Linked DNA regions of Saccharomyces cerevisiae S288C. Changing the gene in region 2 together with the main gene of any one other region gives a genetic interaction. Each region holds a gene or a part of one and is shown on either strand. Other genes may lie near its edges. The genes, in order: ENO2 and HEL2.

Region 1 (3,969 bases), on a different chromosome or scaffold from region 2:
AAATTTGTAATATTTGTCACCATCTTAATGGCAGGCGAGGGAGCTGTCATCTATCTCAGGACTATACGAAGTACACCAGCTGTAATTACCCCATATTGCCCCACACACGACAGCTAACATTAACCAACCATTATAAGTCATGAATACAAGCATGAGCATGAATGAGAATCCCACTTGCAAACCATATAGAATACTATTGGACACTTTGTCGGCTTGGTTGATCTTGGTCAGAGATCTATTTGGTAACAATACTCTCTGGGATAATTGTCTCTTATGGACACAGTACTTTAAGTACTCATAGAGGTAGGCTAGACCAAAAATTGCTAAACAACTTAAAATCAGTCCAGGCAGGGTCTTGATATGCCACCATTCAAAGACGACACACGTATTCTTGTATGACCACGAAAATAGCATATTCATCGAACAGGTATCATCTCCATCTCCCATATGCATATCACTGTGGTCGTGGCCCGCATTTCCTTCCATCTTGTGATTCATGCTATCCATCTTTTTTGAGTATCCAATTAACGAAGACGTTACCAGCTGATTGAAGGTTCTCAAAGTGACTGTACTCCATGTTTTCTTATCATCCATGTAGTTATTTTTCAAACTGCAAATTCAAGAAAAAGCCACGCGTGTGCACCTTTTTTTTCCCCTTCCAGTGCATTATGCAATAGACAGCACGAGTCTTTGAAAAAGTAACTTATAAAACTGTATCAATTTTTAAACCTAAATAGATTCATAAACTATTCGTTAATATAAAGTGTTCTAAACTATGATGAAAAAATAAGCAGAAAAGACTAATAATTCTTAGTTAAAAGCACTTTACAACTTGTCACCGTGGTGGAAGTTTTCACCGGCGTAGACAGCCTTGTCACCCAATTCTTCTTCGATTCTCAACAATTGGTTCAACTTAGCCAATCTTTCGGATCTAGCTGGAGCACCAGTCTTGATTTGACCAGTTCTCAAACCGACAACCAAGTCAGCAATGAAAGTGTCTTCAGTTTCACCAGATCTGTGGGAAACCATAACACCCCAGTTGGCAGCGAAAGAGTCTTGAGCAGCCTTGATGGATTCAGACAAGGTACCGATTTGGTTAACCTTCAACAACAAAGCGTCAGCAGCCTTCTTTTCGATGGCGGTAGCAATTCTAGCTGGGTTGGTGACAGTCAAGTCATCAGCAACAATTTGGATACCAGCGGTCTTGAAGAAGTGAGACCAAGCTTCCCAGTCATCTTCAGCAAATGGATCTTCGATGGAGACAATTGGGTATCTCTTCATCAAGGAGTGGTACATGTCAGCTAATTCGACACCAGTCAACCACTTGGATTTGTCAGATTCTGGGTTCTTGAAGTCCAAGTCGTACTTACCGTCCTTGAAGAATTCAGAGGAAGCACAGTCCAAACCGATCTTGACCTTACCGTCGTGACCAGCAGCCTTGATAGCGTCAACAATCAAGTCCAAAGCTTCTTCAGCGGTTTGAATGTTTGGAGCAACACCACCTTCGTCACCGACGTTACCGGCAGAAGCACCGTATCTCTTCTTGGTCAAAGACTTCAAGTTGTGGTAAACTTCGGAACCAATTCTCATGGCTTCAGCGAAGGTCTTAGCACCAGTTGGAGCAATCATGAATTCTTGCAAAGCCAAAGCACCACCAGCGTGGGAACCACCGTTCAAAACGTTCAAGAATGGAACTGGCAAAACGTATGGAGAGGTCTTGGACTTAGACAAGTCAGCCAAATGTTGGTACAATGGGACGTTCTTTTCAGCAGCAGCGGCTCTAGCAGCGGCCATGGAGACACCCAAGATAGCGTTAGCACCCAACTTGGACTTGTTGGCGGTACCATCCAAAGACAACAAGAAGTCATCGACGGCCTTTTGGTCCTTAACATCTAGGTTGGCCTTGACGAAAGCAGCAGCAATGACGTTGTTGACGTTGTTGACAGCGTTCATAACACCCTTACCCATCCACTTGGATTTGTCTTCATCTCTCATTTCCAAAGCTTCGTGGACACCGGTGGAGGCACCAGATGGAACAATGGATCTGAAAACACCCTTTTCGGTGGTTAATTCGACTTCGACGGTTGGGTTACCACGGGAGTCGTAGACGGATCTAGCGTAAACTTTAGAGACAGCCATTATTATTGTATGTTATAGTATTAGTTGCTTGGTGTTATGAAAGAAACTAAGAAAAGAAAAATAAAATAAAAATAAAAGATTGAGACAAGGGAAGAAAAGATACAAAATAAGAATTAATTACAATTGCGTTTGCTATAAATACGTTTTTAACAATCAACTCTGGTAGGAAGATAATGCTTTTTTTTTTTATATATGCTTGGTGCCACTTGTCACATACAATTCTACAACCTTCGACAAAAATCCAAATGATAGTAAGATCAAAGCCAGAAAGCAATGGAGAAAAAAAATTAATGAACCACGATGAACCAAATGATCAATACAACCAAAGAAACTACCCTAGTGAGGTGTATGCTGACTTGGTATCACACTTCATGAATTTTGCATATGGCAAAGTCCACGAAAGTGGGCTTCAGAAAAAAGGCGTGCGGTGTGTAGATGTATCAATTAGTGGATGCCAGTTTTGGAACGGGATTCCACTTTCCGCAAGTTGGTGCACGTCGTTAGTGACATAACGCCGCGTTCATCTTTGGGAAGAAGCAGATGCTGAGCGAGGAGGTACTATAGAGTAAAGAACCCTTTCTATACCCGCAGCGTCGACACTTGAACTATCATAAAAGTCGAATTTTTCAGTACTTAACTCTTGAGTAAAGTTTATGAGACACTTCCGAAAAATGCTGGACGCGTTGCTAATGTATTCAATCAGCTTCTGAATTAATTCCAGGGCGGCATCTTCTTGGTAACCAACATCTTCCTGACCGCCATTGTTTGTACGATAGCCTTCGTTTAGTGTTTTCATCATCCCGCTTTTGTGTTTCTCATATAGTACGGGGTCCAGTTGACATAATTTTGCTCTCATAGATTTGATGAACTTGCAAAACTTATATACAATGTCAAATATTTGTAACTGTAGTGGAATCAAGTCAGACAAGCAACGATTTGTCATTATATTTGTTAATCCACCTTCTAGCTCATTTTGGATGGCAACGGCAAGAGTAGGATTTCTGTAGCACTTTTCTAATGAGTATACCTCTTTATCAATTACGTTTTGGTTGAAATATTCCATGATGGTTTTAATGAAGTGGTTCATCTTAGCATGCAGCACTCTCGTTGCCCTTACTATCCTCCTCTTCACAGTGTGCGAATAGCCTCTGTATTTCCAGCTGGGTGTTTTGTTTAAGTCCATCCAAGTCTCATCCAAAAGCCTTGAGTGGTATTGTAAAACTAGTTGGTAGCGCAGGATTATTTGGTATTTTATCATGCATGTCCTACTAATAATAATATTCAATGGATAAGGTATGTTGATGTCAAATTTTAAATGATAAATTGCGCTTTTTGGAGTATATAGTTCTAGATTGGATCCATGGTAGGCTCCCGTTCGTTCTTTGCTTAATTCATCAAAAAGAATGGCATTCATATTCTTGAAATTATTCGCGTGCATCAATGGGTCGCTGTCGTCATTTGCTGAGTTATTCTCAGGTACTTCTGGATAAATTTGGAGGTAGTGCGATAAGACTTGTGGAAGTGTTTCTGTATCGAACTGTATCATCAGGAGTTGCCTCATCAGGTTGTTTGGATTTTCGGATTGTCTCTCTAACTCAAAATTTTGTAGCAGCTTGTCATAGTTTGCATTATTATCATTCCTGTAGTGTTTGGTCAACTCACCCATATTTTTTGTTAGAAACTTTAAAACATTATGACCAGATTGATACCCAAGAAAAATTTGTTGCAAATGTTTTAATACATTGATCAAATCGTAACCTTGAAAAAATAGCTTTAAAAATATTTCATTGGCTCTGCTGTAACATTTATCCACGTAAAGTTCAAGATTAG
Region 2 (4,638 bases):
GATTCAATTACTAGGTCGTCTGTTGGTCTACAGGAGCGTTCAGAACATGAATCTATAGAAGGCATACCGAAGGAATCGCAGCTGACTCATATAAATTTGTCAGATAAAAACCAATTGCCATTTATTCCAGAAGCCTCGAGAAAATGCATCCTATGTCTCATGAACATGAGTGATCCTAGCTGCGCGCCATGTGGACATCTATTTTGTTGGAGTTGTCTTATGAGCTGGTGTAAAGAGAGGCCAGAATGCCCCTTGTGCAGACAACACTGTCAACCACAGGAAATTCTGGTCCTGCGGCAATAGAGGAACTAATCAATAATTTGACTACTCTTTTAGCATTGTCCACAGGCCTTTTTCAGAAATAACGCAGACGTCTGAGCAGGAGAAGTAAAACGCGAAGGGGAAATAATGCTTTTTAGTCTTGTAATTATATTAATTAATTAAATAAGTTTTTCTTTATCGGAATTTTATTTAAGACTTTCATTTCTCTAATGCTATTGTCAGTTACAGGTTAGAAATATATTTCCAACTATACACCAATGTGGAATAACAGCTGCTTTTGTTTGCCTTTCTTTTTATTTCCTCCACTAGTTGTGTTCAATTCCCTCAAATTATCGTGCACGTTAGTATCTTGTGTGCTTGACTTTTTACCCCACTGCTTAGGATCAGCAATTTGGGGTCTGTTCAGACCTGGAATTTGCACCTTTGGCTTTGGTGGAGGTAGTTGAGGTAGGTTGAGACTTTTCAATTTATCTTTGCTATTATTTAGAGAAGTAGAAGAGGAACCCTTTTTACTTTCCAAATAGGTTGGAGAGAAGGCGACTGTATTAGTGGAAGTTCGATAACTAACTGATTGAGGTGTAGTTCTTTTAATGTTTTGCACGGGTCTCAGAGTGTTTTTTTTTACGGTGGTTGCAAAGGGATCATACGACGCTGAAGGACTTTTCAGGGTTGGAAGATTTTTGATATTCCTAACGCCTAATGCTGCACCAGCGCTGCCCCCATCGTTTGTTCCACCCCAATGGCCCCTGCCTATTGACATTGAAAGGGAAGAATCACTAGATAAAGAAGGTAGTGAAGTTTGTCGTGCAAGGGTTTGCTCTCTTTGTTCATATATGGCGTTCAGATTATTGTATTTGGAGGAGTTTTTGGGAAAGGTTTCAGCTAAGTTATGAATCAATAAATATACATCCGCATTTGGTTTTGTGAATAACAATTTATATGATTCCAATAATTTTTCAGCACTTAAGCGACCTTTAGAATAATCTTCGTTATAAGAAGAAAACTTATTGAAGTCTTCTTTGGAATTTTCCAGATAGTATTTTGCTCTTTCTGCCAATCTTAGTCTACTTTCCTCGGGAGAACTAGCAGATCTCACATCAGTTCTAGAGCCGGATGATGAACCCGGTAGGGAAGATATAGATGGAAGGTCGTAATCATCTCTTTCCCTGATCACTCTAGATGGAGCCGAGATAAAAGTAGAAAGTTCTGACTGGAAAAACTTTGGCTTTCCCTTCAGGATATTACCATGCTCCTGCAAAATGTGGGCTTGTAACTCCAACTCGTCTTTAAATACGACAAACTTGTTATCTAAGCAAGTTTGGACGGTGCAAACGTAATGCGAATGTTTAAAGTGGTCAAAAAGCTGATTATAATCCTTAAAGTATTGAGGAGAAGCGGGGTTCATCTTATCACAAATATGGCACTTTTCATGCTGATTTCTCATGTGAATGTACAATTCGTCGTCTGAATAAAATCGTTTTCCGGAACAGAAGGCACACATAGGGTGGCCTTTGAATCCTTCTGAATTACCCTTAGTTTGATGGTTGCGTAATTGATTTTGGGTGAATATTTCAAGCTCACAAGGGAATGCATGCTTATGGGTTGCACATATTAAACAGATCATTCTGTTATGTTCAGATTTCAAGTGTTCATTATATTTCTTGAAACTACCAAAGTCACAAACTTGTTCATCCTTCGATAGGGGACAAAAAAATTTTAAAAGATTTAGTGTTTCGGTAGCAACCTCTTCGCTAGTGAAATTTATTCCATATTTTTCATTTTTTTCGCAAAAGTTATATTTATCTGAAATATCACCATCTATGCGATCGGTAAACATGACTTCTTCATTCTCCGTTCTGCAAATCAAACAGCTTTTCTTGTTGTACAAAGCTCGTTGTCTGAAACCACAGATATGGCATGTCTTATGATGGCATGGTGTTAGAGATACGTATGTTAACTTGCGCGCACAAATTACACATAATTCATTTTCTTCATCAGTATCATCTGCGCTTGAAGTGGTGAGGTTGGGTTCAGCAGAAAGGTTATTTTTCTTTTGCTTTCTTCTGAAATTCTTCCTGTCGTTGTGAGGTTTTGTATTATTTTGGGGCCCTTGAGTACGACGGAAGTTACGTGTCGGAGTAACGTTTTCTTTCACTGATTCGCTCATCCTAATTCTTGAAAAGAAGTATAGCCACTATTTTTTCGACGAAAGAGACTGTATCAAAATGCACTTTATGGATCTTTTTCAGCTAGGTATGCGCTCGACGATTTGTTGAATATGGCTGAGTGGGCAGTCGTTCAGATGCCCTTTTCAAAATCTTAAGAGAAAATCAGAAAATATAGCTATTATTAAGAGTGACCGCGAGTATGAAACTTTCAGTGTAACCTTTCTTTATTCGAGATAATGCTTAATTACAAGTCTTCCGAATATCTAATTTTTTTTTTTTTCATTTTTAAATTTCAGTTTTTACCGCATGCTTTTAATGCAGGGATATGTATAACGAGGTCACTCCGTCACACATGACAGAATTGCGTTATAGTGATACAAAGGTTTATGTAACTAGGTAGAAAAATCGTCATTAAGTTTATTTTTAGAATTCAGATCGATCACTGTGTTAATATGAGTTCCTGAATTGTACTCTTGCTTCTACATCTACGCTGCTTTTTCTAGAGACCAGAAATTTACGATCCCGTCGTCACCGCCTGTTGCAAGTATAGTTTTACCATTTAACTCCAACCACTTCACAACGTTGATTTCATAAACTCCATGACATAATGCACGTTTAGCAAAAACTTTCCATTCTCCGTCTACTTCTTCATAGACCGCTAGTACTCCATCCGCTCCTACACTAGCAATGAGGCCATTAAAGCCCCATGCAACATTGTATACCTGTCTTTTGTGTACATCCGGGAGAATAGCTTCACAAACCCATTCTTGTTGATCATCCTCGTCGTCACCCATGTATTTCCATACCCGTACAGTGGAATCGTCGCTTCCACTGCACAGTCTAAACACGCCCTCAGTCTTGTCAAAATCAGAAGACCAAACAGTTCCTTCATGGCCATTTAAGACAGCAACACATTCCCAGTCATCGTCATAGTCTTTCCATATCCTGACGGTGTCATCATAAGAACTTGAAGCCAGTAATGCTTCAGATGGATGCCATATAACATGTTTAACGTCTTGTGAATGTTCTTGCAAAACACTAATACACTCATATTCCTCGCCACTTTCATCTGTTTCCCATATCCACACGCTTTTATCTCTGGAACAGGTTGCTAGGTAATATCCATCATTCGACCACGCTACACCTTTTACTTCATTTTCGTGACCTTCGATAATAGCTAGCAGGTCCATCTCGAAAGTTCTGTCAGCAGATTCTTCCTTAGCCCAGATAGATACAGTGGAATCAAAAGAGCCAGCCGCTAACAGCGAAGTGTGAGGTCTCCACGCCACAGATCGAATCGCCTTTTTATGAGCAGTCTCATCTAGCACATCAATTAACGTAAAATCGTCATATTTCACGCTAACTAGCTTAATTTTTCGATCAGTTGAACCTGTTGCTAATATACCTTGAGAAAAGTCAAAAGACCATATCTTTTCCTTGTAAAGTTTCAAAGACTTAATCAGATTGATAGACGCCATTACCAAATAAGTAAACCAATTGAACTATTAAAATGTCGTGGTATAGCCCGATTTTGATTTGTGATATCTACAAATCTAGTATTTATTCGCAATTAATGAGGCAAAGACGATACAATATTCGATGTGAGATTTTTCAAAACACGGCCCGCTGAGAGCAGAAAGTTTTAGATGACCTATTTGAAGGCAATCACGATGGTATTTTTCAAGAAAATAAATAGTAGTAACACTGCTATGCACATCAGAGTCAGATTCCTTAAATTCAAACGTTTCTACAATTAGTATGACCTTTTCTTGAAGATCTTTTTCTCCTTATAAAGGCAACACAAAACAAGATAGAAGTGCAAAGGTATTTTTTGTTTTTCACGTGATAAAATCGGCTTCGAGAAAGTAGAAAAGGGTATTATGATTTATTACAGGCTACCTGCACCATCTCAAAGGTTTTACGTTACTAAGGAGTGAATCAGGTTTTGATAAATATTTACACTATCTTTTACAAGGAAGATGTCGAATAAGCAGGCGGTTCTGAAGTTAATCAGTAAAAGGTGGATAAGCACAGTGCAACGTGCCGATTTTAAGCTGAATTCCGAAGCGCTTCATAGTAATGCTACGGTATTTAGTATGATTCAGCCAACTGGGTGTTTCCACCTTGGTAATTATCTAGGTGCTACACGTGTTTGGACAGACTTATGTGAATTAAAACAACCTGGCCA

The links.
Region 1: mutations in HEL2 (region 2) and ENO2 together harm fitness more than expected from each alone (negative genetic interaction), as found in Saccharomyces cerevisiae (2 studies listed by BioGRID).

What each region holds. Positions count from the first base shown.
Region 1 is NC_001140.6:449,497-453,465, reverse strand, and holds ENO2 (phosphopyruvate hydratase ENO2), read right to left. Parts: upstream 2,140-3,969; coding exon 826-2,139; downstream 1-825. Other genes in the region: CTR2 (low-affinity Cu transporter), read right to left, coding at 25-594; YHR173C (uncharacterized protein), read left to right, coding at 2,313-2,651; gamma-tubulin-complex subunit SPC97, read right to left, coding at 2,660-3,969.
Region 2 is NC_001136.10:999,575-1,004,212, forward strand, and holds HEL2 (E3 ubiquitin-protein ligase HEL2), read right to left. Parts: upstream 2,450-4,638; coding exon 530-2,449; downstream 1-529. Other genes in the region: PEX10 (ubiquitin-protein ligase peroxin 10), read left to right, coding at 1-303; iron-sulfur cluster assembly protein CIA1, read right to left, coding at 2,936-3,928; tryptophan--tRNA ligase MSW1, read left to right, coding at 4,430-4,638. UniProt on the Saccharomyces cerevisiae protein: E3 ubiquitin-protein ligase that plays a key role in the ribosome quality control (RQC), a pathway that takes place when a ribosome has stalled during translation, leading to degradation of nascent peptide chains.